Diceros bicornis minor: one gene and its partners. The protein of the gene in region 3 purifies or fractionates together with the protein of the main gene of each other region. This does not show direct contact. Links are inferred from orthologs where the notes say so. Each region holds a gene or a part of one and is shown on either strand. Other genes may lie near its edges. The genes, in order: EMD, SLC3A2, EGFR and CANX.

Region 1 (6,900 bases), on a different chromosome or scaffold from region 3:
AAGTGGAGGAAGGTGGGCACAGATGTTAGCCCAGGGCCAGTCTTCCTCAGCAAAAAGAGAAGGATTGGCATGGATGTTAACTCAGGGCTGATCTTCCTCACACACACAAAAAAATAAATAAAACAAGCAGCTTCCTGGAAGAAACGGCGGCAGCCAAGCACATGCTTTGCTTCCTAACCATCTCCCACCCTTGGACACTGGGGTTGGCATCCGCTTGTCCCGGGTAAAAGATCCACAGCAGGCTGTGCATAGGCAGCCTTGCCTGCACTTGGGGTGGGCTCTCCACGCTCCATGGTGCCATAGTTATTCTCATGATTACCAGAGCTTTGAGTTATGAGTCAGGGAACATACCCCATCAAGCAAAGCACCAATGTGCTTTGATTCACGGGTAGGATGTGATTCCTAGGCCAAGGCCAAAAGGGGGAACCCACGAAGCCAGATGGTGATTCTGGAGACCAAAGCTCAGAGGCCCCGAGCCAGGGGAGCCCAACCCTCTCCCAGCAGAAAGAGCCCACACTTTTAAAAATAAATGGTCTTTTTATTGTGTGTCCACGAAAACAAAGTCAGGGTGGCCTTTGGTTAATCCCCCCAAAGAGGTGACAAGGAGGCATGCAATGACAACAACAACCACATTCTCCTCTCCAGGAGAAGGGTCTTACCCTCCCGGGCCCTAAGGATCAGAGGCAAGTGGGGCCAGGAGGCTCCGGAGGAAGGCCTGCCCAGGCCCACTATGCCATAGAGGGCCTGGGCGGGCTGCCTCCCTCTCAAAACAAGGCAGGACAAGGCAGGGGGAGCAAGCACTGCCCTGGGCCAGGCCCAGCACCCCCAAGCTAGAACACACAGAGAAGCACCCCCCCACAGCCCCCCAGCAAACACTGCTAATGCAGTCAGCCAGGACTCCCTCCCGAGAGCAGCTGGCCCCGAAGCCAGACCCTCAGGGCTCCATTCAGAAGGGGTTGCCATCGTCAGCCTGCATGGAGTAGTAAACAAAGAGCAGGAAGGCTGCAAAGACCAGGAACAGGAGCATCTGGCCCCAGAGCGGGACCTGGCAATCCTGGCCCAGAGCCCCAGGGGCCTGCTTTTCTGGCCGGATGGCACGGCGGGTGAGCCATGAAGGGTGGGGAGCTGAGGATGAGGACACAGGAGAGGTGGAGGAGGATGTGGGGTAATAGGACAGGCCCAGGGAGCTTCTGGAGATGCTGGAAACGGGGCGGTAGTGCGCGATGCTCTGGTAGGCACTGTCCCGGCCATACATGGGGCATTCCCTGAGGCAAAGAGGGAGCAGATGGGCCAGGAGGGCCTGGGCCCAGAATCAGCCCAGCCCCTGGCCCTCCCTACCACTCACCTATCTTTACTCTCCTCTTCAGAAGAGAAAAGACTGTCATCACGCACCTATAGAAAAGAATCAGGATGAGGAGAAAGGCTGGCAGGGTCAGTGTGGCCCTGTCACATCCCTCAGTCCAAACTTCCCCTGCTGGCCTATCCCGCCCATTGCTTAGAGGCCCAGGCCCTGCCATACTCCAGAACCCTTCTGAGTTCCTGGCCTTCATTCCCTGGGCCCTGGCCACTTGCTCAGTGACTGTCCTGGCTGCCTGCACCCTACTTTCTGCCCCAGGATTCTCAAAATAAGCTCAAAGCTAGATCCAAGACCAGGGTGCAGGGCATGTCCCGTATGCTCCAGTCAAACAGTTCTGACAGCCCGCCGAGGGCCCTGACCAGGCAGGTGTCTGCTGACCCCACCTCTCCCTGGAGGCTTGGGAGACACCATTTGCCCCCTTGACTTAGCCAAACCCAGCTCTGACCCCCTCAGGTTGTACACAACTACAGACAACCCGACAGCCGGCTCACCTGGTGGTGAAAGGTGTCAGCGTCTGAGAGTGAAGCCGAGGGCTGGCGGAAGCCCTTGGACGTGCCCACAGACTCAGGCTCCCCGTAAGTCCTGGTGCTCAAGTAACTCTCCTCATAGTAGTCATCATTATAGCCTTAGGAAGGGGGCAGCAGTAGCAGAGCGGGCAGCGGTATCCCCGCCTGGCCCGATGGCCCTAATCTGAATCCCACTTTGGGGCCTGTGACATGGTTTCTCCCCTCCAGGGCTGCTGAGGGACGGCGGGGGTTGAGGTCTCAGGTTCTCCCTGATACTGGGGTCCCTGAGGGAGTGGAATGAAGGTGTCAGGGTGCCCACCCCACGCCTGCCTTACCCTTGCTCTGGTAAAGTAAGGCGTCCTCTTTCTTGGGCAGATCGTACATGTCCGAGTCCACGGAGGCTGAATCTAAGTCTGAATGAGGGGGCCACGACCATTTGCCCTCAAGGCTCCCCTCCCTTTTTCCCGTGTCCCTCCCGGCCAGCGTTCCTGCCACACCCTCGCGACTCTGTTCTCCCCGTCGCCCAAACCCTGTCCCCACGGGCCGCCAGATGGGGCTCTGGGTCGGGGGCCTCACCCGAGAACCGGTAGGAGAAAGACGATGTGGAAGAGTTTGGAGGCGACAGCCTCCGCCTTTGGGTCTCGTACTCGAAGATTTTCTTTTCGTAGAGCTTGCGCGTGGAACCTGGCCAAACACGGGGTGCGGGGCGGTCAGGGGGGCGGGCTGGGAGCCCGGGGGCAGCGCGGGGAGGGGGTCCCGGAAGGGGACGCGAGGGCGGAGCGCGGGGAGGTGGCCTGCCACCGCGTACCCACGACAGGCCCGTGTGGAATGTTGTACTGGCGCAGCACGGCAGCCAGCTCGGCGTCCGACAAGACCGCGTAATCGTCCATGGTGCGCGGCTGAAGCCTGGGGGCGACTCGGGCCTGGAGACACAGACCAAGCTACGGCTGCCTCGGGAGCGGCTGCGCTCGCGTCACGCCTGCGTCCGCGTCACGCCTGCGTCACATTCGCGCCCTGGACGCTGGCTCTGCGAGCTGCGCGCGCTGCGTGGGGCGGAGCCAGGCCGCGGGGAGCAGCCGGAATAGACCGGTCCGATCGTGGGAGCGGGAGGGGCGGGGCTGGCGAGCCCAGACGTCTCAAACAGGCAGGATTGGCTAAAGGCGAAAGAGGGGCGGGGCGTGCGCGGGAGCCCAAGCGGCTCAGACCGGTCCGGCCGTGGGAGCGGGCGGGGAAGTGTGCCCGGGGGAAGGGGTGGGGCCGGCGAACCAGGAGACATCACTCGCTGGTGCTTCTGGGCGAGAAGTGAGGAGGGGCGGGGACCGCGCGCAAGGGGAATGGGCGTAGACCTGCCGGGACTTGAGAGCGGGGTGGGGTTGGCGAGGCAATATGTCACCCGCTGGCGTGTTCCGGCGAGAAGCGAGGAGGGGCGGGGTCTGCGCGAGGCGAACCGGCAGAAACTAGCCAGGATGTGGGAGCCGGCCAGGGCCGGCGCGTTTGGGGTGCTTGCTCTCCCTGAGTCACGTGGGCTTCACTCCGTCCCTACGGCCTCCGCCACTCCGCCCTCACCCCCGGCCCGTTCCCAGGCTCCAGCGCCTGGGGTTCCCCGGCCACGCCCCGAGAGCAGCGGGAAAGTGCCAGATCCTAAGAGCGAGTCCTTGGACAGCGCGGTCCCGGGCCAGGCGCCCCTGCGAGCGCTTTGCGCGCGTGCGCCACGCCAGGGAGGCGGCTGCCGGCGGGGCCCGGACCCTAAGCCGCCCCCCAAACCCCCTGCCGCAGGCCGGCCGGTGGCTCTGCACGGCCCTGGCCTGCGCACCTGCACCCGCGGGTCCCCACCGCCTCCCTCCGTCCCTCCACGCTCCACCGGGAGGAAATGGGGCAGTGGCCCAGGAGGCCGCCAAGCACTCCAGGAGCAAACAGCCTTGGAAGGGGCCGGACGTGCCAATAGGCACTGGCACGGGGCGCCGTGTGATGCGTGCAGAGACAGCGAGTGTCCGCCTGACCCACCATGACGTCCACCTGGGGCACTGGGGGTTTCCTCTCCTGTCAGAATGGCCCCTGAGCTTAGTGTGACCCAGGAGGCGGCCAGGCAGGGTCAGGAGGGCCCTTCCAGACCCACAGGGACCTGCTCGGGGGTTCCAACAAGCTTTCGCAGGCTCTCAGCACCTGGGTCTGGGTAGGCTTCAGGGTCCTGGTAGTCCAGAGGGGGCCCTGAGGACAGGGGGGCCAGAAGACTGAGCGGGGACCATGGAAGGCTGCCATGGCCTGCCAAGGTGGCTGGACCTTCACTAGGAGTTGGTGAGGGCCTTGGTCAGTAAAGAACTGTCCTGTGGAAATTGGAAAGGAGGTGATAACCATGTTCTAAACCAAGCCAACTGATAGAGTATGGGGCCAACTGAGGTGCCCCTCCCCAGGCAGGCCCAGAACTGGGAGCACGGGGTGATGAGGAGCTGTCCCTGGTCTCAAATGACAACAGGTGATAAGGGGAGAAGAAGAGAGGATGGCTCTGCTCAGACCCAGGCTGGCTGCCTAGCTAGTGAGGGTCACAGAGCAGTTCTCCATGGAGGTTTGCTCAGCGGGTGGAGAAGAGGTAGCCACACAGGGAGTGGTGAGGAGATGGGGTCCTGGTTTGACCCCACACAAAGACCCTCAGAAGAGTTGCTGTGGGCCAGGTTTTAGAGTAAAGGCGAGGCCTGCTCTGTCTCCCGGAATAGGAGGAGGAGGTGTGTGGGTCCCCAGACACGTGCATGGCTGTAGAGGGGGGAGAACCCTGGGCACAGCAGGGGCTTGCTGCTTATCTTTCAGAGCAAGGAGGGAGATGGCGTTTGGGCTCTGGGCTGCTCAGAAGCTGCCTCCTGGAATTTTGAGTTTTGGCAAGATCAGACTCCCCAGCACCTCTCCAAGCCTTCTGTGGTGCTGGCCCCTGTCCCGGAGGCCCAGTCCTCCCCCATGCCACCCCTCCCCATGTGGATCCAAGTTGTTTCCTTATGAGGTCAAGGAATTCTAGGTTTGCTTTCTCCCCAAGGAACACCCCCTCTCCCAGCACCTGCCTCGGCACTCTGCCTTTTATGACCCCCCCGTTGCCCTGCTATGAGGTCCCACCATGGATGGCCCCAGGAGACTGAACTGCAATGGTCCCCTGCGCCCACCCGGTTAGCACCTGGAGCCCAGGTCCAGCCCCATCGCAGTGCAGACCTGTCCCAGACCACCAGAAACCATGCGAGCCCTTGCCCATCAGTGCTGAGAGGCCTGCACCATTCCATCACACAGAGGGGGAATCAGGAGAGGGAGAAGGCTTGCCCAAGGGCCCGATTCTCCCATGGATGGCATGGGGGAGTACCTAGTCCTCGGGGCAATGACCTGGCCAGTGTGGCCAGCGCGGGTACCGTGTCATCAGAGGGCCTGTTGGGGGAATCTGTGGCCTCCAGGGGAGTCTTCCTGGGAAGGGTGGGCAGAGTTAAAAAAGAAGAGGAATTTCTCTGGAACCACAGCTGAGGTGAAAAGGGTTAGGAAGCCACAGATTCCAAGTCAAGAATAAGAAGACAGTTTCTCTTTCAAGGATGGGCAATGGCTCCTAAGCAGTACATAGTATAACTTGGAATCCCAGCAAGATTGAAAGTTATAGGGGAAAATAATACCAACATGAATACATTTGTCAGCATCCATGTCCAAGGAGCCAGTTGTTCACTGAGCTATTAATGTTTTCTTTAAGGTCAGAATCTTAATACATTAGTACAATACAAAACTTAACTTTTCTCTTCAAGGATGTTAAAGATCCTTTGAGTTTCGCTTGGTATTTGAATGCTTTGAAACATTGCTCAGATAGTAACAAAAGTCATAAGATGATGATTATTGTGAAAATTAATATGTGGAAGATTGTCACAATTACAATCAATATAAAATGGGGAGTGGTCAGTGGACCAAATGCGTCTCCAAGAATGCCTTGTGACCCACCCTAGAACACAGCAGTTCATCTTGGTACTGCTGGCACGACCAGTTGGGGATTCGGCCTGCCTTAGCAGCAGGAATGTAGCTGATTCTAGCGGTTTTCCAAAACCTTCAACACAGGAGAAAAGGTCTTTAATTGATTAGGATCTTCACCAGGGAACAGCTGGTGCTATACAAACCTTCATTCCCCTTAAACCTGGAAGAAGTAGAAACCAAGAGCTGCGCATGTTTTGTGTGTTTTGGAGTGTGTGTGCAGTGGGAGGGAGGCAGTAGTGTAAAGAGAGGATTTAAATGGAGGTGGGGGCCAAAGATCCAGCCACATGGCCACCGCCTTGTTTGTGCCCCCCACCTATTGTACCCCTGGCTCCGACTGCAATGCCTGTGGTAGGTGGGTCTCCCTCCTTGAAGAACAGCCACCTCATGGACCTGAACTCAGGCCACTCACCTATCAAGTGACCATAACCCACTGCTCACCCCAGCAGTGGGGGGGGGTTCCCACCAGAGGGAGCAGGGAGGGACATGGAGCCCCTGGCACTGCTAGGAGATCCCACTGTGAGTCAAGGTGGAAAGGTCATTGCAAGCAGAGCTAACAAAGGCAGCAGTGGCTGCAGGGAGGCCTGGAGGGCAATCAGCGCCTTCCTGTCAGTGTTCAACTGTAGATGGCCAAATGCATTTAGCAGGTGTAACCAAATTTCTTCCTGCCTCCCTCCCTTCTTTTCTTTCTCTCTTCTAATGAAGTAGAGTAGAATAGAAAATACCAAGTGCTTTTTGGGTAGTGAGAGAAAGTCTCCTTTTCTGGATCGTTTGTCTCAGTTATTTCTGTCAATCTGTGTATGTGTGCTTGCACAGCTGGGCTCAGGATGTCAAATGTAGTTCTTATTGGGGCTTGTGGGCAAAATGTTAAAGTGACACTGCTTTATGTGGCCTTCCCCAAGGAAGTGACAATTGAGCTACATCTGAAGCTACCAGGAAATGGGCACATAGAAGAGGAAGAGGGAGCCTGGCAGTGCCAGGGCGTGGCTGTGCCCACCCAGTTCACGAACACTTGGCTCTTTGGCTGCAACCCACTGCACGCTCCCAGACTTTGGGACT
Region 2 (6,964 bases), on a different chromosome or scaffold from region 3:
CGTCCCACTAGCATTTCCGCGGGCCAAACTGTTCTCCCTAACCTCTTAAATTGTGTCCCAAAACCTGAATCGGGGAGACAGATCTGAGGGCACACGCCCCCTGTCTCCCTGGAGATTGATTTCATAGAATAAAAGCTGATTTCTCCCCTCAAAGGTTGATGCCATAATAATTGTCTGGTTTATGCTCATTGGGCAGAGAACACAAATTTTGTGCGGTAACAATGTTAGCTGGAGGGAGGCATGGTGTTAAAATAGGGCTAACACGCTGTCTAAAAGTTCCAATTTTGGAGTCAGACTTCCTGAGTTTAAATCTTGACTCTCAATGAATATTTCTTGAATGAATAAATGAATGGACCCATGAAAGGCAGCATACCCGAGGAGTAAGGCAGCATACCCCAGGGGTTGTTAAAGTATAATTGAAAAAAATTAAAACATGACTCATAAAAATACAAAATGAATGCAGGTCAAAGATTTTATTCAACCAATTAATTAATAAGAGAACAAATAAGATTCAAGATTGATTCAAAAGAGAATTTTAGGAAAGGATTATCAGTCAAGAATGCTGATACAGGGGGCTGGCCCAGTGGCGTAGTGGTTAAGTTCGCCTGTTCCACTTCGGTGGCCTGGGTTCACTGGTTTGGATCCTGGGCGCGGACCTACTTACCGCTCATCAAGCCATGCTGAGGCGGCATCCCACTTAGAGGAACTAGGACCTACACCCAGGATATACAACTATGTACTGGGGCTTTGGGGAGAAAAAAGAAGAGGAAGATTGACAACAGATGTTAGCTCAGGGCCAATCTTCCTCAAAAAAAAAAAAGAATGCTGATGTGGATTTGCTAATAGGTAGATATAAAACTGACTAATGTCATAGAAGGCAATCTTATACAATTGTAAAATACCCAAGCAATAATAGGACATCAAACAAGGGTACACACCGCTGTAAAATCAGATAATCCTCAAGCTGGGTGAGCCTGCTTTACATCAAAAGACACCTAGTAATCACTTGTGCCTATTTCCAAGTTTTGGGTAATTTTCTTAATAGGGACAAAAGTAGAGACTGGATTTGAATAACAGCTCTGCCAAACTAGTTATGTATTCTTGAGTAAGTAACTTAACGTAAAACTCAGTTTTCTTATCTGTGAAATGGGGGATGGTAACAATAACAACTACTATTTTATTTTATTTTTTGGTGAGGAAGATTAGCCCTGCGCTAACATCTGTTGCCAATTCTCCTCTTTTTTGCTGAGGAAGATTGGCCCTGAGCTAACATCTATGCCCATCTTCCTCTACTTTATATGGGACGCCTCCACAGCACGGCTTGACAAGTGGTGCATTGGTCTGCACCCGGGATCCGAACCTGTAAACTCTGGGCTGTCAAAGCAGAGTGCGTGAACTTAACTGCTATGTCACTGGGCTGGCCCCAACAACTACTATTTTTTGAATTGAGGTAATATGTATAAAGCACTTAGTACAGTGTCTGGAAAGTGCCATAGAAAACACTTAAAAGATGTTAATATATTAACATTCAACATTCTCCACCAATTGTTTCACCTTGTTTTTCTCATTTCTTATTACTTGACACTCCAGCTTTTTTGCACCAGTCAAGCAGATATATTTACACACACACACACGTTTTATTTGACTACTACATTCTTTGCTTGTGGAACATCCCCTTTCTACCTTATTCAAAGGAAAAAAAATTTCAACATTTATTCCATGGATAATGAAATCTGCATTATTTCCACCAAATTTCAATCTCTCCCTGACATACATAAAATCTCTCCAGTTTTATTTTAAAAATCCTAACCACCACCTGTAATTTTACCTACAAATTTGTAAGCACAGTCCAGCGCTCCAGTCCTACCTGGAACACTCTACCTCACCTGGCTCTCTCCTCCATTTCCTTCAGAGTTCCGCCTAAACGTCACCCTTATCAGAGAGGCCCTCTCTGAGTGAAATGACAACTCCTCCAGACAAATCTTAGACATTAAAAAGGTCTCTGGCCCTCCAAAGGGCCAGAGTACATAAGCAGATATAAAGTATATCAGTGGTATTAAAATTTCATGGAGGAGGATTAGAGGGAAAAATGTCTTTTTAAGCCTCCTGGGGAGGGGGAGACAACAATGAAAAAAGATTGAGAAACCGTACCCAGGGATCACTCTTATTTGTTTCCTGTGTATCAGCTTGTTCCCTGACTACCCTGAGAACAGTGTGTGATGACAGTAATAAATCACAGCGGTCAAAAGAGCAGGCTCTGGAATCAGACTGCTTGGATTTGCACCTTGGCTCTGATATTTCTTAGCTGGATAACATAGAGCAAGTTAACCTCTGCTGGCCTCAGGTTCCTCATCTAGAACGTTACCTTAATACCTTCCTCTAGGGTTGTAGTACTAGTAGGTGAGGTCACACAGAAGAGCGCATAGTAAGAGCTTAGTAAATATTTATGAAACGTGCACTAGGTGTTTTCCACAAACGACTGGACTAATGCTGGTTGGTCTCAATAACAACAATCTATAGATGACTGGAACCACTTTGACAACCAGGAAAGAGTTGTAGGCTGCTCTGCAACAGCTCTTTACACCTAGGGTCCCTCATCTATTAAGAGGGGTAGTTATTGCACCCGCCTCTTGGGATTTAGAAGGACTAAAGTACTTGATTCATGTAGTGTGCTTAAAATAGTGCTCCACATCTTTGCTAACGTTAGCCCCGCTACAAGACAAGCTCCAAGGTCCCAACCAGACGAGACAGCAGGACATACGTGGCCGGTCTGGAAAAATCAGACCCTGCCCTAAGACTCAAGTGGAGCACCTACGGCCTAATGCACTTTCCCGAAACGGCTCCATGCAAGGCACCCACCCGAGCTCAGCCCGGGGCCCAGTACCTGAGTTGCCCCCCGCGCTGGGACCCTGAGCACCAGGCCCGGAATGCGCGCTGGGCGGCTGGTGCGGAACCGAGTCGACGCCGCTGGAGGGTTCAGGAGGTTTGGGATCCATAAAAGCGTACCCTGCACGTGCGTTTAGGGTGTGTGGGCAAGGAGGGCTCAAGGAAGGGTGTGGGGACAGGCGGCTGTGACCGAGACAGCTTCAGACCAGGATCGGCGTGAAGCCCGGGCCCCAACGCTCTAGACTCAACGGAAAGCCGCAGCACAGACCCCGCTGCAAGCGATGCGCGCGTCTACGTACTTCCCTCAGGCGCATGCGTACCTTTTTCGCGCCTCACCTTCTGCGGACGAGCACTCAATGGTCGCCCTCTCTACCCACAACTCCCCAGGCTCGCACGCCCTCTTCTTATGCGCGTGCGCGCGCCATAGTCCCGCCCCCCCCCCCCCAAATCCCGTGGGCCCCTGCGAGGTGCTATTTAAGTGTCTCGCTGTGACCCTTCGGCCTCATTTTTCTCCACTGTTTCTGGTAAGTGTGTGGTTTCCAGCATTAAAAAAGACCGGGTGACCGTGGTGCCTGCTAAGCCTCCCTGTGCTGCACCTATTTGGTTGGTGGGAGAGGGGTACGAGATCTTGGCCGAGGCGTCGAAGCAGCAGCGGGGCTTTGTGAAGGACAAGATGGCGATGGCGGGCCGGGACGGCGGCCGTCTCTATGATGAAGCCTTTTCACAGACCTGTACTGAGCTCCGTGAGGATAAGAAACTCTGAGGAGACGGGCCGTGCACAGTCGAAGTCCGACGCAGTCGGAAAACGAGGCCTTGGCAAAGTATCCAATGCTGACCTAATGTCCTCTTGTCTGCAGGGTGCAGGCGCCGGATTTAACGCTGAAGCCTGGAAAAGAGGCCTCCTGTTAGAGTAAGTGCTTACAGCCATCCTCCACCACTGTTCTCCATTGTCGAGTGTGTGGATGTGCTATGGGATGTGCTACGGGGATGATTTTAGGAATGGAACTCTCTCTCTCTGATGGATGAGTGGAGAAAATGTAAGAATTCTGAGTAGCACCATCCGCAGCAAATGTTTGGGTTTTTTTAGCTCTGAGCTGTTAAGGCGCTAACATGGGACGGTTAGGTTGTCGCATGTTAGCTAAGTAAAGGGTGCTCTTGGTATTTTTCAGATGTGGTTCGGCTCAAAAGACGTTACAGGTTGGAGGATGGGACAAGACCTACTCCTGTGCGATTCAAGCATTACAGTGATGCTCCAGGTGGGTACACAATGGTTGATGCAGTTATGGATAACGGCACAGTGTCTCGATGGAACTTGCTCTTTCAAATTGTGCTGGCCACTCCATGATGAACGTAAAATGACAAGCATATGGCTGACCTTAAAAGTGATGTCATCTTACTACTGAGAAGTGGGCCGAGAGTACCGAGGGTCTTTGAATGGCTATTCTTAAGTACGTATAATGCTTTGCTTTTCTGTCTCCAGCATTTCGTCACCAGTCCTGAGGAATTCAGCTGCTTCCCAGGGTGAATACAGGTAATTGTTCAAATGGATTGGGGTGTCATCTCTCCCGTGTTCCCCACAACCGGGAGAGCAAATGGTCAGTGGAGCAGTGTTGCCTTTTTGCTCCTTCCAGCTTGTTCTTGGAATGGTTTTCCTGGGGAGAGAGCAACCCAGCAGCACAGTTGGTTCTTGTGAGGGTGTGCTCTTCCCTCATCCACATGTCACTGTCAGATGATTTGAATTGATATGCTGATCCTCCATGAGGTACGACAGTTAATAGCATGTTAGAGTTCTGATGGCAGTTTCTATTAATGAAGAAATTTATTCCATACTAGTATCTTTTAATAACCATTTGCTCCCCTTTTGCAGGTCATCCAGATGATAAATTCATCTCACGGTAAGTTGCCTCTCCCGATACTGTGGTAAATTAGCATATATGTGAACTCATCCAAAGGATAATCTTGTCATCATGGGGTTTCTTTTTTTGTTACCAAAGCCCTGACTGCCTCTTATTTCTCCTAGATGCCCAGTGATCTGCCCCAGGTCGAACTCCTGGAAGGAGTTGAGAATGGTGAGTACTTGTAACCTTGCTGGTATTAGCTTGACCCAGAGTCTAGTGCCAGTGAGGAAAGCAAGCATCCCGTCTTAACCCCTGTTCTAGCCCCAGAGCCAGTAATGGTGAACCCACTGGGGCTAACTGGGAGAGAGGATGAGAACCTGTTCCATAAGGAACTGTCTGAGGTACAGCAAATGCCTGTTGGTAGCATTTGCTTAGCATTTCTTGGCCTGTCCACTAACCATAGCTAGAATAGCTTTGGCTGTTTTAGATATTTTGCTAATTACATGATTTTCTCATTCAGGAGCAGCTTGTTAATGTATACTACTGAAAAGCCTCCAGAATTAAAAGGTTAGTTGATTAATGTCTCTATGGTTTATGCCACCAAGGAGACAGTTTCTATGATGAAGCAAACTAGCTCACTATGACTTCACAATGAAAACACATGAACACCTGAGAAACTGGAGAACACAGTAGGGGAGGTACCATGTGTAAGGAACTTTTGTCACCCACAGCTTTGTCTTTCCCTAGGTGCTGTTTCCAGTAGCCTGCTTATTTGCTCAGAGGTGAGTAATTACCATGTATTGGTGTATGTAGCTCACTGGGTAGAAACAAATGCCTTTTTAGGTCTATGTATATGATGACTTACATGGAATCTCGTTCGGCTGATAACTTGCTGTTGAGACTCGGAAATCTGATTTTTCTAGGAATGGTGGCTTAAGTGGGAACAACTTTTAATGCAAGAGGTAAGCATTATTGATTCAGTCTTGTTTCTTTCAGGTCCAGCACCTTGTCTGAAGCCCAAGAATGATTTGAGGTAAATACCTTCACAGCACTATCTGGCTGCTATATAAAATTTGCCAGTTTTTGTGTGCGTGCTACTTTGGTCTGGATAGCTGTTCAGAGACATGACTGGCCATTCCTGAACCACCTGTGACAAATGCCCACTCACCAGTGATGAGTTCAATACCGCCCCAGTCTGATCACTGTGACTGAAAGGTATTCTCTGAGCTGTGAGCTTGTCTTGGAGTGAAAGTGACAATAATAGGAAGTTTTGTGGACTAGCTGGCAGTTTCTGTGAAATGTGTTGAAACCTACATAGCCTATACAGATGTGCCTTTTCTCCAAGCAACAGGGACTCTTAGGGGTGGTTGAGAGACTTAATTCCTAATCATTCTTTTGCAGGGTGAGCATAAGCCATATTTCTGCTCAACTGCGGTCTGAAGTTAGAGGTAAGTGAATTCAGATGCAAGGTTGGGCCAAGTTAAAATTTCCCAGTGAAGAAACATTCACACGTCTTACCTCCTGTTCTAGTCCCAGAGCCTGTAAAGGTGAACCCACTGGGGCTAGCTGGAGGAGAAGAGGAAAGTTTGTTCCAGAAGGAACTGTCTGAGGGATCATAAGGGTTTCTAAACATGGGAAAGGGAAAAATAAATCACTTGTTAAAAAATGACTTGTATAATTTTTTCCAGGACTGAAGAAAGATCAAAGCACATAAAATGGTAAGTATTTGTTCATATGTTGGTGTTTAGTATTTAATAGACTAACCATGATAAAAGTACCTGGAGGCCAGCCCTTTTAATGTTAACTGGTGGGGTGTAGCCCCTTATAAACTCATAGTACATATAGTCTTTCCCATCCAGTAAGAAAACTCACTTTTCTTTTTCTCTACAGGAATCCAGCTCTTAGAAGACATCAAAAAGGGCATTTTCAAGTTATTTCTTATACAACCTAGCTGTTCAAATTGGCATACAGCCATTTTAGCCTTTCTAAATAAAAGGAATTTTTTTTAACCTTCACTGGGGTTTGTGTGTTTGAGTGGGTCTAGCTGAGCAGAAGGAAATAGGCTAGGAGAATTTCCTGTTATTGGCTCTGCCCAACCTAGCCTGGCAGTTTGCCTACTGCTGGATTGTCTAGCCCGGGGAAACATCATTCAGGAAGCCTCACTATTAGACCTTGAAGGGGTTTTTTCCCCCTGATATACACTGCTGAAGGAGTCCTGTATGAGAAGGTGGCTGGGTTTG
Region 3 (7,702 bases):
TCGCGCAATTTCCAAGTTCACGGTTAATTTGGTGACAGCTGCCTTCACGAAAGGTGGCCACGGTGACCACTGAGTAATTGTGAGCAGCAGTCTAGACCGTGAACAGACTCACACAAGGGGCCTTCCTAACGAGCCTGTTCCCGGGCCCTTCCCTCCCTGTCCCAGCATCTGACGTTAGACGCTCACACACACTTACCCTGGCTTTCCTAAAACCAGGACTCACGCAAGGCAGTGGAGGCAGGTGGTTGAGGGAGGGCTCTGGGGCTGGAAGGCCTGAGTTCAAATCCTGGTTCTGCCTCTTACTAACTGGGAAAGTCACTTTACCTCTCTGTACCTCAGTTTCCTCACATATAATGAGGGTACCCACATCACATGCTTGATGTAAGGACTAAAAGGACACTTGAAACAGTGTCTGACAGTACTAAGTGCAACAAAGAACAGAAGATACCATATCTCAGAACCAAATAAATCTCTTTAAAATGAGTAAATTTTCCTGAACAAAACTGACTAAATTTGATTGATATGAGTCTTCGACGCTTTTTGTAAAAAGACCTCATCTTATATTTTTACTAATTTGCTCCTTAAATTTGGTCTTTTCATGTTACTTTAACTGAATGACATGTGTTCACCTACACTCACTATTTTATTCAGGAGCATTCTGTTTTAAGCAAATATGGGACTAACAGGCAAAATAAGTGGTATTTATGTTCTTCTCAGAAACAAATCTCCAAGCACTAATAGCAGTGTTCAAACAGGTAACAGCAATGAGCTGGGATCATTTCTGGAGTGAGAAGTGATGCTTTGGAGGCGCTCTAAGAGTTTAATCTAGAATAAGGATGGGGTCCCCTGCAGCAAAAAGGGAGAGATCACCTGCCTCAGAGAACCCTGCAGTCAGCCAATTCAGGAACAGGCTCACAGCCACTGGGGCACAGCACGGAGGAGGCAGAACCCTGCAGCCTCCATAGAGAGGAAAAGCTTTCAGGGAAAAGACTAATCCCTTAGTATTGAAATCACCTCCCACCTCCTCTGTCCCACATTTTGCAAGATTGTTAGAACTCCAGAAGTTCCAAAAGAGCTCCTTACATTGGCAGGTAATCTTTCCCAAGACTTGACCAATCTCTCCTCTGTGCCAGGGTTCCCCAAACCTCGCTATCCAACAGAATCACCTGAGGAGCTTTTAAAAACCCGGATGCCCAGGTCTCACCCCAGACCAATGAAATCAGCATGTCTAGAGGTGGGAGCCAGACATCGATTTTTGTTGTTTCGTTTTAAATCCCAAGTGATTCTAATTTGCAACAAAGTTTGGGAACCACTGCTTTATGCCTTAACGCTCCCCCAACAAACGCACTCAGCCTCAAACTCCTCTTCTCTGTGCCAATGGCATCACCAGCAAGTACAGACCTGACTCTTGGAACCCGGGCTGCTCGATTTTGAAACTGTGCAATTAAACCTTCCGAGGCATGTTTCTCAGGTCAAGTGCCTATATGGTCGGTACTCACGAAGCCAGACTCGCTCAGGCTGGGTCTGGACATTTGCCACACGTGCACCATGGATATCAGTCCTTTCTTTTTTCAATTAAGTTTAATATTTTGGTTGGCCCAATGTCATACTCTTCAAAAAGCTAAAAGAAACATCCCAAAGAAAAAATCTGGGGATTTTGAGGTGGAAAGTTTGCTATGAGCCTTATTTTGAAAAACTATGGGGACCTGGCCAGATGGGTTCCGCCCACAGAGAGGTCGGCACCAGGACCCAGCTGTCCAGCCGCGGCCGGTCCCACCGCTCTGTCCAGCTCCACCGCAAAGCCTAGAGAGGTGACCAAAGGGCAGCAGGTGGGGCCAAATCTCGAGAGTTCCCAGGAAGCCACCACTTCACGAGACCCACGCGCTCAAGGGGCGAGGGCGCCGGGGAGGGAGCTCTGGGCTGGCAGGGAGCCTGGGTCCCGGGGCGGCAGCAAGACCGCGCGGAGCGAAGGATCTGCGCCCCAGGCGGGGTCCGACCTCACCCTCCTTCTCTTGCCGAAGACGAAACTAAGTCCTCCCTTCCCGGTAGCCACAGGTAGGTAGTGGCAGACGAGTTCTCCGGCCTCCCGGTTCAAGGCTGCGGCTCCACACCCGGGAAAAGGGCTTGCAAGGACCCAAGAGCGGGGCCGGGACCCAGGCTGGCAAGGCCGGGTGCAGCGAGCCACCTTAAGTGTGAGACGCGGAGCGTCCGCTCCTGTCCCAGGAGGTCGGAGAGGAGTGGGGTGGATTCCCGCCGGTCCGTCCTCAGCTTCCCTAAGCCCCTCGGGGGAGTCCCCCGGCACGGTTGGACCCCCAGGTGACAGCCCGGGGCGCACGTGCGGAAACACGAGCCGCCCCGCGCCCACCCCGTGTCAAGTTTTCTCCCTCGGCCGTCGACCCCGCGCAGGAAGGCAGGAAAGTGAAGCCGGAAAGTTGCGAGCGCTCCGGGCGCCGAGCTCCGGGCGACAGTTCCCACACCCGCCCGCAGCCCCGCGGCCCCGCGTCCGGAGTGTCCCCTCCTCGGGCCGCCGCGGACTCGCCCAGCCCAGAAACGAAACGTCCACTGCCTCCCACGGTCCCGGCCAGAGGCGCAGCCGACCCTCAAGGAAACAGGAGAGGAGCGGCGGGCGGCGCGGGACGCGGAGCCGGTGCGCCGAGCGCGGGCTGGGCCGGGACGGCGGCGCGGGGCCGGGGGGCACGCCCTTACCTTTCTTCTCCTCCAGCGCCGGACTCGCCTGGAAGTGCGCAGCCAGCAGCACCAGGAGCGCGGCGCCGACCGTCCCCGACGATCGCATCCTGCCTCCGAGACGCTCGCTCCGGGTCTCCGCAATTAGCCCCGGACGGAGTCGGAGTCGGAGTGGGAGTCGGAGTCGGGCGCCGTGCGCGGCGGCGGCGGCGAGGCGGGGACTCCGGCGGACGCGGAGGTAGCCTGTTGCCCGGACCGGGAGGCGGCGGCCGGGGCTCGCTCGGGGCTCGCGCGGGATTCGGCCGCCCTGGCCGCGGGCGTGCACACCGTGCCGGGGGCGGAGGCTGCGGCCGCCGCGCTGCGCTGGGGGCTGCCCAGACGTCTAGCTCGCGGGGCGGGGGCGCGGGAGCGAAGGCTGGGCTGGAAGGAGGAGGGACCAGGAGGAGGAGGAGGGATCGGGAGGAGCAGAGGAGGAGCAGAATACGAGGAGGAGGGAGGCAGAGCCAGCAGCTAGGACCACAGGCAGGCAGCCACTAGGAGGTGGGGACGGCGGTGGCCCCCGTGGGCCCGAGCGCTCAGTGAGGGCGGGAGCGGGGGCGGCGTGCGGGACCCGAGGGTGCCCGTAAGAGTTAACTTCCGAGTGGGGCGTTCCCTGCGCTGTCCCCCAGGACCCGGTCCGCGAGGACTCGCCCTGCTCTCTCCGGGGCCAGCCTTCGTCGATCCTCATTTGTACAGGGTTCCCATTTCCCCGCCCCACCCTCTAACTTGAGGAGCGAACTTGTACCAGCTCTGGGCAGACTAGCTGAGCCTTAGGCCCAGGATGGGATGAGGAAAAAAACCCCTGTACTCTGGCCCCCAACTCCTCCACAGCACCCCGGGATCCTAGTGGGGGGTCGGAGGCTAGCCTGGCAGCCTAGTTGTCCTTTGCTGCGCCTTGCTGTGCCAGGTGTCTGAGAGGGTGCTCTCAGGTACGAGAGGCCTTCAGATCCTGTCACCCTCGAAATCGTCTGAAATGAGGGCACCCGACTCCTGGCACAGAGACAGGCCTTGGGAAATGTTTGTTGAATGAATGCATGAGTACCGAGGGAACCCACAGCGTTTCATATGCCGGGAATCATCCAGGGGTACTTGAAAAGCAAATAAATGGGGTAAATTACCTCGCAAAACTTTGCGAAAAATTACACTTTTAGAGAAGCCAGGTGCCCCATTGTCCTGAGACAGCACACGTAACCCAAGCAGGAGAAAAGCCAGGGAAATCTGCTAAGCGTTTGGCCAGAAGAAAGTATGCTTTCTCGGGCTGCAGGAACTTGAGCTCAACTCTCTCAGCGAAGTCTGCCCTACTCCCACTGCCCCTCCGCCCACAGGATACATGTCCTCAGGCCCCATTTTACAACCAAATCCCCTCTTCTCCTCCCAAGATCCACTGGTGACATTCAGGCAGGTTCAGCGCTGGTCTCCCCACTGTTGAAGAAGGGATCACAAACCTAAAGGAAATGGAGTTAAGACTGGGACCTTTCCTGTCCATGGAGGAGAGGAACTGTGCATCCTTCCTTTCCACCCAGCAAGGGTAGGGCACCGGGCTCCTCACCATCCACAGAGCCCATGACTTTTCCTCTGAACTGAGAGTCATTTGTGTTCATTTGTTTTAAGAAATCAGGAAGACCACTGAGCCCTCTGAACTCGTTTAGCCCCTGGGTGGAAAAGGCTATGAAGATTCTGCAGGCTATGGGTTTGGTTCCCTCCACATGTTCCGAACAAGGACTTCAAGAAGTATGTAAAGACACAGCTACAGAAAAATTACACAAATTAGAGAAGGTCAAACTGGAAACACAACAGTGGAAGGTAGAGTGAAGCCAGGAGAGAGTCTTAGAGAAGACCTGCGCACACCCAGGTCCTGCATTTCCTCAGCAAGGGCCACCGATTTGGCTCTAAGCCATCTGTCAAGGAAACATGAGAGGTGGCACAAATCTATTGTCCATATGTTAATACACTAATCAACTGAAGCTACAACTAATCTTTAAGACTGCATAGAAATTTATCCCATGAATCCCCCGAAGCACACAGTGTGTGAAGGTATCCCAGCTCTCACTGACTGCTTTTAGAATAGACAGCACCACCTTCACGGTGCTGTCTTCTTATAATGTCCCTCCACATGATCTGATGGCATCTCAAGAAGCAGAGCTTTGTGAAAACAATTCCCCAAGGAGACAGTGTGACACTTCAGGCACACAACCCAATAGTGGGTTGATCCCAGCGAAGGGAGAGGAACGGGTGAGTTAAAGATCCTCCTGGGACACCTGTGTTAAGTTTGAGTTTCTGCTCTGAGCTTGTGAGGCATTCAGGATGCTTTTGTACCCCTTGGCAGGTACATGGAGTGTACTGATAACTGTGTTACTTGTTAAGTAAAAAAACTAATGGCCAAGCTGGCAGAAATGACATCCTCTTGAGAAAACGGAGCCTTGCCTAGGCTGAGCTATGCATAGAGGGTGCTTGGGCATCCAGTCTCTGCAGGGAGTGATCCCAAGTCACATCCCAGGCCACATCCCAGGCGAAGGCTGCCGCCACAGGAACAGCACCAGGAACCCTGGCTGCATGCTGCTAGGTACTGATCAGAAATGAGCTTATCTGACCGCTGTAAGCCAGGTTACACCTTTGTCTGCCTTTTATGACAGGGTGATGCTGTGTCTTAGCAGCATTAAATAAATCGCTTGTCCGAAGTCCCCAAGCGTACTTGCTAGTATGAGGCCAGCCTTGAACCCAAATCTAGGCCATGTTCTTCTTTACTCTTTTGCTGCAACTTTTCTAAACCTGAGACAGATAGAGACTTTGGGACCCCAAATTCTGTTTCAGAATATCTTGGAAACTTTTTAGAGGAGGTACAACCAAAATTTCTGCTTGGCCAAAAACTTCCTAGATAAAGCATCCACGTACACCATATTAGCAAGCATGTACTGCAACCGTAGTATATCCCACATTAACTCTCATATGTGCTGTCAATTTTCCTAACACAAGCTGTTCATTCTCTTTGCCATCTACAAATGGGAAACTTTTTTTTTTTCCTTCTCTGATGAGCATTTTTCCTCTTGGAAGAGGCTTCTGAGTATTTAAATGAGTTTAATCTTTTCTGGAAGGAACATGGCAGGGAATCCCCAGAAATCACATACCTTGTGGAAGGAGAGGAGAAACTGGAGTTATTTTGCAGGATGATGATAGGAAGGCTTCGAATGTTTTGAGTTCCGTCTTAGGCCAGAGGCATTTGACCACCTGTTTTCTCTGGCCTTTGAGGTCAAAGCAAGGATTAATGAGGAAAAACATCAGAGGGGCAGATTTCAGAATTAAAAAAATTATCTTTTATAAACTACTGGAGCTATCTAAAAGTGGAATGAGCTGCCTCTGAGTGGAATGAGTTTCTCCATCCTTAGAAAGATTTGTATGCAGGAGCAGTGCTAAGGGAGACTGTGAATTAAGGACTGAACCAGGTCCCTTCCAATCCTAAAATTCCGTGGGAACATGCATTTCTAACATAGGCTTCTATTTCAATGTACATGGACTCAACAGCTCTTCTAAAGATACATTTTAAGAAGACACAAGAATGTGGTAACAGGGTTGCCACTGGGGAGGATAATTAGGTAGCTGGAGATCAGGGTTTGGAGGGAGACTTATTTTTCAACTGTCTGTCCATTTATACCTTTGCAATCTTGTACTGTGAGCAGGCATGGCCTATTTCTGTAAGGTAAGGGTCAGTGACCTCAGTAGGTGACCTTGTTGAGGTTCCTGGGCACTCCTGGTGGCAGCCTTTCTTGGTTTCCTCCGCCATTTGCTCTCTTCTTTTGAGTCAAGTTATATGCACTTGACTCTGAGTTGAGAATATGGAAGAAACAACTTCTTTCTCAGGGATAATATGCTGACACAAAACTGCTGAGGCATTCATTTGTCATTAGTATTCTTATTAGTGTTGTATGTCATTAGTATTTATCGTTATCTCTAGGGTTGAGGGTTATGTAATGCTTGGAAAGCAGGATCTCTGTTTTGAACATTAGTTTCTGGCTTTGTTGCTTGTTAATTACTTTGCATCGGGATCTTATAGGAAATTTCTGGACCCTGCACAATGCTTTGCCTATGTTAAAGGTTTAAAACTGAGATTAAATAATTTTGTCCAAGGTGTCACTACTTGTCTCAGGGGTGGTTATCATTAGAAATATTAGCCTCAAGGTTGCAACTGGTGGCTTGCAGACCAAGTTTAGGATACAGATGTGGTTTTGTGGGGCCCACTCAATATTTCTTTTAATTGAATTAATGGCATCATTTAAAAATCAGGAGATTTCATATTTAAAATATGATTTTAAATTTTATGTTTCTCTTGAAAAATGGGAAGTGCTGGCCAACTGCCAACTGGGTCTGCTTTCATGCAAGATGGCAATTGGCTGGGTGATAACTGTCCCCTTCAGAAAGGACATTAAGTCTCCAGCTCTCACCAACACCACCAAGCCTGATTCACCAGTTCATGGGGCCTGCGTGGCTACTGTAAGCATTCAAGTTTGCAGCCTCACCCTTCCTGGTTAAATAATGCTATTGCCACTTTATAGGTATGATTCTCATCTCTGGTTTTCCTCTCTCCCTTATCTTCCTTTCTCTATCCAACTCATTCTTCCTCATCTCATCTACATTTGTTGATAGATTTTGGTCCAGAGGTCATAATACATTATATATCATGATAGACCTCACTTCAAATTAGCATATTTCAAATATGGAGTAATATAAAAGCACAAATTTTATCAAAGCTCATGATTATACCTTATCATTATTATGGTTAACATTCTGTAGGCATATATATATGGTACTGATCAGAAATGAGTATATCTGACCACCTGTGAGCCAGGTTACACTTTTGTCTTAAAACCAATGAAAAATTGCTGGAGACAAATACTTTCTTGTCGAAGAATAGAGAAAGAAGGGTCTACCTCTCAATTTGTGGTGCATGTGCAGTGACTGTGTACCATGAGCTGACCATGAGCTG
Region 4 (7,038 bases), on a different chromosome or scaffold from region 3:
TATATATACTTCTTAGGGTGGTTGTATAACAAAATGCACGTAAAGTGCTTATGACAGTGCCTGGCTTACAGTACATGCTCAACATAAGCAGTGATTTCTACTATTACTAGGTATTGCCCAGAGACACCATTTAAGTTTTAATGGTTCTAAAACTCTGAGTTTTGGGCCGGCCCCGTGGCTTAGCAGTTAAGTGCACGCGCTCCGCTGCTGGTGGCCCGGATTCGGATCCCGGGCGCGCACCAACGCATTGCTTCTCCGGCCACGCTGAGGCCGCATCCCACAAACAGCAACTAGAAGGATGTGCAGCTATGACATACAACTATCTACCGGGGCTTTGGGGGAAAAAAATAAAATAAATAAAATTTAAAACTCTGAATTTTAAGGCAAATAAGAAATTTTAAGTCTTACATTGGAAAGGAACCAGTTAAAAGGAATTTGACTCCAGTCACAGACAAACCATTTTACTACTACTTTTTGCACCTTCTGATTTTACTACATGTGCATCTAGTCAAAAAATAAAAGCACCTAAAGAGGAAAACAAGTAAAGACCACTGTAAATGCTTAGCCATTTAAAAATAGACATATACTGCCTTGTCTACAGTTTTGAATTTTGTTTCTCATTGACAGGAACATTAGAATTGGTTTTTCCATAGCACTTTCTTTTTTGCTATAAACTAAGTAAGTTTAAGATGTGAATACTCAAAACATATTGCTGAAGATTCTCAAAAATTCTTTAAAAAACAAAATTCTCCAAATAATTTTCACAGCTCACAGTTAACATTAATTTAAAAGCAAATCTGCTGCAGGTAACAAAGCATTCATCAGCACTTTCCTGACAAAGTTCTAGAGTAGGCTATATAGGCTACAACTACGTTCAAGAACTTTTATTATTTCCTAGGAGTTTTTATGAGCTGCCAATTCTTCTATTTGCACAGTTCATTACACTATTCAAAGTAGTATCATGTTCGCCATCTTATTTGTCCCTCTCAATAGCCCCCTAATAGTAAAGGATCCAGGAGACTTCTCATTTCCATTTTAAAGATGTGGAAACCAAGGTGGTTCATAAACTAGTTACCACACTGGGCCTGGAATTCAAGCCTGTTGAGCCTACATTTATGCTTACCAACTACCACTTCATTCCCTTAAGCTATCTCGCAGGGCAAAGTGAACTCTGTAACTAAAAGGATGCAATAGCCTGACTGCCAAAACTATAGTTACTTCTGTCAAAATGTTTACCCCTTGTGGTCCTTGAAGATAATGTACTAGTTGAACTGACAAGTTAAGATAGTAATGTGGGGAGGGATGCTGACACCCATTTTCAGATAGGTCAGAAAATGTGTCTGTTGTGTGATACATTCACTCCAGTACACAGTTCACTCCTGCCTTCTCATGATCCTGTTACCTGGCTTGTTTGCATGTGCACCCTGGCTGGTGCAAAGGAGAACTCTCCCACAGTTCTTTACCTCTGCTCTAAATATAATTATAGCAAATGCACAACATGGCATTGATTCTATTTATGACCCTCAAATATGGCTGGAAAAAGATGATACAGAATGCTTTTAAAGATTAATAGAATTCTTCCCTTAAAAAAACCCCCAAAACTCTACTTATTAAAAAACTCAGCAAAATATTCCATTTCCTAAATTAGAGGTAAAGAGACTTAACTGTGGTTCACCTTTGTCCTCCCAAGCTTTTAATGTTCAGCTCAGTTTAACTTCCCTCAACCAGCAATCACTTGTGTCATGCCCAACAGTTAATCCACTAGGTCCAGTTTCTTCCTCCCATCACCATAAATGTGACTTCAGGTCCTGCAAAATAGGACTTACCCAACTCAAAGAGTAGGATGTCAGTGTAGTAGACAAACTATTCAAACTACAATTATTTATTGCAATCATTATTTATGGAGCAGTTAATATGTATCAGATTTCCCTATCCTATTTTATACACATTTTAATTTAATTCTAACAACTCCATCAGCTATTATTATATCCATTACTTAGGGAGAACTGGGGCACAAAGGGTAAGTAAATTGTCCAAGTTCACATAGCAACAAATGACCTACTGAAGGACTTGAACAAGGACCTTCACTTTAACCACTACACCAAAACTGTCTAGCTCTCAACCATAACCCCAACGGGATCATAAAATTAACCGCATGACCTTGGGCCAGTCATATCAGAGCTCTGGGCCTCAGTTTCCTCCACTATAAAACGACCTACCCACAGTGAGCTTTTCGGTGCTTTCCTGCTTTTAATGTCCGGTGAATTTCCAACTGGATTACTCCCCACTCCCGATTAGGTGTAAATGTTAGGACGTAAGTGTTCCAACCACTGCGTGTTCTAGTACATTCTCCATACTCTTCAGGGTGCTAGGGTCCAGTCTTCGCTTTGCGGTTTATTTTCAGATATTGAACCTGTAATGCTAATCCTAAATACTCTCTCTCGGTCCGATATCACCTTTCCCCAACCCTAGGGGTACCGACTAGGCCCAAGCCCACTCCAGACCTTTACCCGGTTACTCCAGCGCACCTCGCGGCTTCCCAGGCAACCAGCAAAAGGCCTACGAAAGCCCTAGAAGCAAAGCCATGGGACGAAGTTAGCTTTCCCAGAGGTCAAGAGACGCTCCAGGGCACCTGCCACGCCTCCCGACGCCGGCGCGCGGCCTCGGCCCGGCGCCCCAACCGAAGTGGCCCAGGTTCGGCCTCGAGCTCACGGCCGGCGCCTCCGCCGGGGCCTGGGCCCTGGAAACCCAGCCCGACCCCTTGGCCAGGCCACGCCCGGCCCCCCTGGCCCCTCGGCCGCGACGCCGCGCACCCAGGCCCCAGGGTCCTCAGAGACCGAGGACGCGCGCAGGCCTCCCGTCTCACCTCGAGCCTCCGGGAACCGCCGGCGGCACCCGCTCCTTCTCCCGCCCGCACACCTGGCCCCGCGCCGCAACCGAGACAGCGGCAGACGCGGCCCGACCGTCACGTGCCGCAGATGCAAGAGGCCTCGGCTACCGCTGCCGCCGCGCGAGCGAGCCTCAGTGCGCTAAGCCCGGCCCTGCGTCCGCCCCTCGCTCCTGAGTAGTTACGGCCGGCACCAAATCCCGCCCCCCCGCGCAAGCTCCGAGATCCGGTTGGTCGGCGCGGCCTTCGCTCTATGCACCTTCCCGTACGCCCCCTAGGGCTCTTCTTCGTGGAGTGTGGGGATTGGCTAGGAGTGAGGCAGGAAGTGGCTCTTGGTTGGGCAGGAAGAAAGGGGCGGGCCGCAGCGGAATAGGGAACTGCGGGCGCGCGCGCCCTGGGGTGGGCCGGTCCACGGGACGTTCCCGCGCCTGGTTGCCGTGGTGCCCTAGTGGGCGCTGTGCCTGGCGTTTTGTCCCATCGTGTGTGGTCCGGACCCTGCTGGTGCCTGGACCCGGGCCCCGGTCCCCGGGCCGGGCATCCCGTTCCCTTCGCTGAGGGGGCAAATGGCAGCCGGCAGAAGAGGTGGGAGGTCGGGAGGGCCTTCGGGAAGGGCCAGTTCCCCGATTCTGCTAGTGCGGGGCCCGGACGGAAGCCGCAGCGGCTCTGCGGGCCGGCCTGGAGTCGTGCACAGCGCTGTGTAACAAGGCGCCGGCGTTCCTGCAGAGTCATCGCTCTGGGCCCAGCAGACTGCAGCGGCCTCATTACCCAACATAAAACCCAGTCTAGAATACTATAATCCAAGGTTATTTCAACTTTCAATTTGTGATGTTTCCTGAAGTTAGATTAGACATAAGGGCACAGACACCCGACAGGATTAGGAGAAAACAGTGGTGCGATGGAAAGGTTTCAAACACACTACAATTTTTGTAACCCACTTTTAGCACATCTTCAGTTTTCAATATGCTTAGAACCTCAGAAAATGGAAGTGGCCTAGGTTTTCCTAGACGTTTATAGGTCCTGGTCTCGGTCTGTCATTTGGTTACCCGAAGTCTGAATACTAGGGTGGAAAAAACTAGAACCAGTAGGTGTATCACCTATCCTAGTGTCCATGTAAATAATCCATAATCTATAATTCAAAATTGGGGTGAGTTTATTATGAGCCAACTTTTGAGGACCATAGCCTGGGCCTTCCTTCCCCAAGGAAGGAAGGCCACCAAAGAAGTGGGGTATACAGAGCGTTATATACTGTCAAAGAACATGTATCACATATGATGGCAAAGTCCCTTTTACAATAGCCACAAGATTGCCCTGCCAGAATAGCCCTGGCGGAATAGCTGTTGGACACAGTGGGGAGCAGGTCTGCTGTCTCAATCTGGGCAGTCACAGGATGAGTGCAGCAATCAAATCCTAGCCTAGTGAGAAATACTTATCCTTAAGGAAATGCCAATGTGGGGGAAGTTGCATTCTTATGTTAAGGGCATTTACTCTTCTCTTTGGGACATGGTAAAGTGGATACACAATGCATGTTTAAAGGCGACAGGCCTTGTTGGAAAAACAAACTCAGGCAGAACTAGTTTTACCCCAAATGGCTTCCTCATATGCTCTGATATATCCTATTGCTTGCCATTTATTTATCACTAGGATCCAGCTTTATTCCCTCCCACTACCTGGAAGGGGAAAAGAGAGGTCAGAGATTGGTGTTTGCATGAGTTTAGTATTCTCCAACTCTCAACCCCCAAATTTGTGTAAGAGAATTTTGCTTTCCTGTTTACCTGGGGAAGTGGATATTCAAGGCAGAATAATATTCTGGATGCCACATGTTCTGGACAATGAGCTTAAAAGGTAGTTACAGAAACTGTGTGAGCAAAAGAGCTCCTCCAGCAAAGGTAAATGCTAAAAGATGGTGATCCTGAAGAAAATTTAATGGGGTTTTGAGCTGGAAGGAACTGCTTTTGTCTAGAATGGACAGGTAAAGAGGTAAGACTTAAGCTGGACCTAGTAGGATATGCAGGATTTCTATAGGTGGAGAGTTGGAGGCAGGCTTCTTTACACGAGGGACCAGCGTATACAAAGGCAGGAAAATGGGTATCGTATGTCTGGGGACACCGCACACACGAGTGTTTTGGCTGGAGAAAGGTGTTCGTGAAAGTGATGGGAAGTCAGCTCCAGAGTCGGGTTAGGAGCAGGCCTTCAAGGCCTGGCCAAAGAGTTTGTAGGGAAATAGTTTAGATTTTGGATTTAGGTCATGATTTAGATATTTAGGAAGCATTATGTTAATATTATTCCAGGGAGTTCTGAAAGTTCTGAGAGAGACTACCAGCTATGAGGCCAGTTAGGAAGCTACTTCTTGCAGTTGATTCAAGGGCAGGATTAGGGAATGGCAGGTTGTATAGAAACAAAAGCATTAAATGTTGATACTGAAGAATGGACTCAGGCTGGGGAAAGAGAGGAACCAAAGCAGACACTCAGAGTATGAGCCTGGGTGACAGGAGGTGAAGTGTAGAGTAGCTTTTTTGTAGACAAACTTCCGCCTTGCCTTTCCTTTTTTTGGTGGGGGGGAAGATCAGCCCTGAGCTAACATCCATGCTAATCCTCCTCTTTTTGCTGAGGAAGACCAGCTCTGAGCTAACATCTATTGCCAATCCTCCTCCTTTTTTTTTTCCCCAAAGCCCCAGTAGATAGTTGTATGTCATAGTTGCACATCCTTCCAGTTGCTGTACGTGGGACGTGGCCTTAGCATGGCCAGAGAAGCGGTGTGTCGGTGCACACCCACGATCCGAACCCAGGCCGCCAGCAGCGGAGTGCGCGTACTCAACCGCTAAGCCATGGGGCCGGCCCCTGCCTTGCCTTTTGAAGCATCTTTTGGGCAATTTTCTTTCTCAGGTGCTTGATTGTCAGCTCTGTGAAATTCCTCCACTTTTTCTCAAGCTTTTGCCTTTTTCTTCTCTTCTACATCCTCTATGGTTCCAGCTGGAAAAGGGTATGAGATCTTTTCTTGATAATTCAAAGGGTACTTTGAGGTGTTAGAGTATTTCATTAAAAGAAATAATCATTTTATAGTTCTCAGATGTAGAAGGTATGGGAGATTGGGCTGAATGTATTTTAACCTTATGATATAATCTGTAAGATGGTTTTCAAAATAAACTGTTTATATCCATTTTAAAATGCACATACGTTTTGCCCAGCAATTCCACCCCTGGGAATATATCTAGATATATAGATAGATAAGATAGATAGATACAATAGATAGATGGAATATATCCACATACTGTACTTGTATTTAAAAGTATACACAATGATGTGCATTGCAGCATTGTCTGTAGTACCCCAATCCTAGAGACAACCTAACCTATCATCATAGAGAACTGGTTAAATAGAATATAGGTCATCCATGTAATGGTTCTGTCCTGCTGGAGAGCATGCAGTGAGCACATATATGTACTGATATAAAATGATTGCCAAGATTTAGTGTTATGTGAAAAAGCACTGAGTAATGTTTCCTTTCATGTTTCAAAGGGAGATATATTTTCATAAATATGAACTTGGACAAACAAGCTTACTGGAAAGATGCAGGAGAACTGCTAAGAGTGATTGATGCTGAAGAGGGGGCCTGAAACCCTGGAAGTGAGAAGGAGCCTTTTTAATAACATGTGTATATTATTTTTTCAATAAAGGATCAAATAAATTTCTGCTTTTATACTTAATTTTCCAAAAAAAGATAAAATATATATTTAAAACCACTGTGAACAAAATTGTTGACCAATTTGTCTTTCCTATCCAGCTACTTCTTATAACAACTTGCCCCTCCCACCTTCCTGAAAAGCCACCCTCATCCTTGCTCATCCTCACCTTCCTTTGCTTAAAGGAGAAAGTGGGCACCCAGCCAGAGGGAGCACCCCACATACCCATCCAGTCCTTTCTTACTGATTAGGTCAGTAACGGTCATTTCTCTGTACCCACACTCATCTGGCATTGTCAAATTGAGGTATGTAATTACGTTAACTGAAGTTTCTTTTATTACAGTGAAGTTAACATTTCTCACATTCATTAACCATATATATTTCTTCCTTTGTGAACTGTCTATTCACGTCATTTGTCCATTTTTCTATTATAGGTTTTGTCTTTTTCACATTGGTTTGTAAGAAAACTTT

The links.
Region 1: the proteins of EGFR (region 3) and EMD purify together in Homo sapiens (affinity purification with mass spectrometry; 4 studies listed by BioGRID and IntAct, with this or other methods). This does not show direct contact. The link is inferred for Diceros bicornis minor from reciprocal best matches to the Homo sapiens genes EGFR and EMD.
Region 2: the proteins of EGFR (region 3) and SLC3A2 purify together in Homo sapiens (affinity purification with mass spectrometry; 4 studies listed by BioGRID and IntAct, with this or other methods). This does not show direct contact. The link is inferred for Diceros bicornis minor from reciprocal best matches to the Homo sapiens genes EGFR and SLC3A2.
Region 4: the proteins of EGFR (region 3) and CANX purify together in Homo sapiens (affinity purification with mass spectrometry; 4 studies listed by BioGRID and IntAct, with this or other methods). This does not show direct contact. The link is inferred for Diceros bicornis minor from reciprocal best matches to the Homo sapiens genes EGFR and CANX.

What each region holds. Positions count from the first base shown.
Region 1 is NC_080781.1:138,282,721-138,289,620, forward strand, and holds EMD (emerin), read right to left. Parts: upstream 2,920-6,900; 5' UTR 2,754-2,919; coding exon 2,672-2,753; intron 2,548-2,671; coding exon 2,440-2,547; intron 2,277-2,439; coding exon 2,199-2,276; intron 1,983-2,198; coding exon 1,849-1,982; intron 1,393-1,848; coding exon 1,346-1,392; intron 1,266-1,345; coding exon 947-1,265; 3' UTR 518-946; downstream 1-517. UniProt on the Homo sapiens protein: Stabilizes and promotes the formation of a nuclear actin cortical network. Stimulates actin polymerization in vitro by binding and stabilizing the pointed end of growing filaments. Inhibits beta-catenin activity by preventing its accumulation in the nucleus.
Region 2 is NC_080770.1:10,298,096-10,305,059, forward strand, and holds the start of SLC3A2 (4F2 cell-surface antigen heavy chain), read right to left. Parts: upstream 3,001-6,964; 5' UTR 2,997-3,000; coding exon 2,885-2,996; intron 1-2,884. UniProt on the Homo sapiens protein: Acts as a chaperone that facilitates biogenesis and trafficking of functional transporters heterodimers to the plasma membrane.
Region 3 is NC_080780.1:11,022,641-11,030,342, reverse strand, and holds the start of EGFR (epidermal growth factor receptor), read right to left. Parts: upstream 3,014-7,702; 5' UTR 2,795-3,013; coding exon 2,707-2,794; intron 1-2,706. UniProt on the Homo sapiens protein: Receptor tyrosine kinase binding ligands of the EGF family and activating several signaling cascades to convert extracellular cues into appropriate cellular responses.
Region 4 is NC_080740.1:92,651,334-92,658,371, reverse strand, and holds the start of CANX (calnexin), read right to left. Parts: upstream 3,003-7,038; 5' UTR 2,867-3,002; intron 2,571-2,866; 5' UTR 2,505-2,570; intron 1,809-2,504; exon of another isoform or gene 1,676-1,808; intron 1-1,675. UniProt on the Homo sapiens protein: Calcium-binding protein that interacts with newly synthesized monoglucosylated glycoproteins in the endoplasmic reticulum. It may act in assisting protein assembly and/or in the retention within the ER of unassembled protein subunits.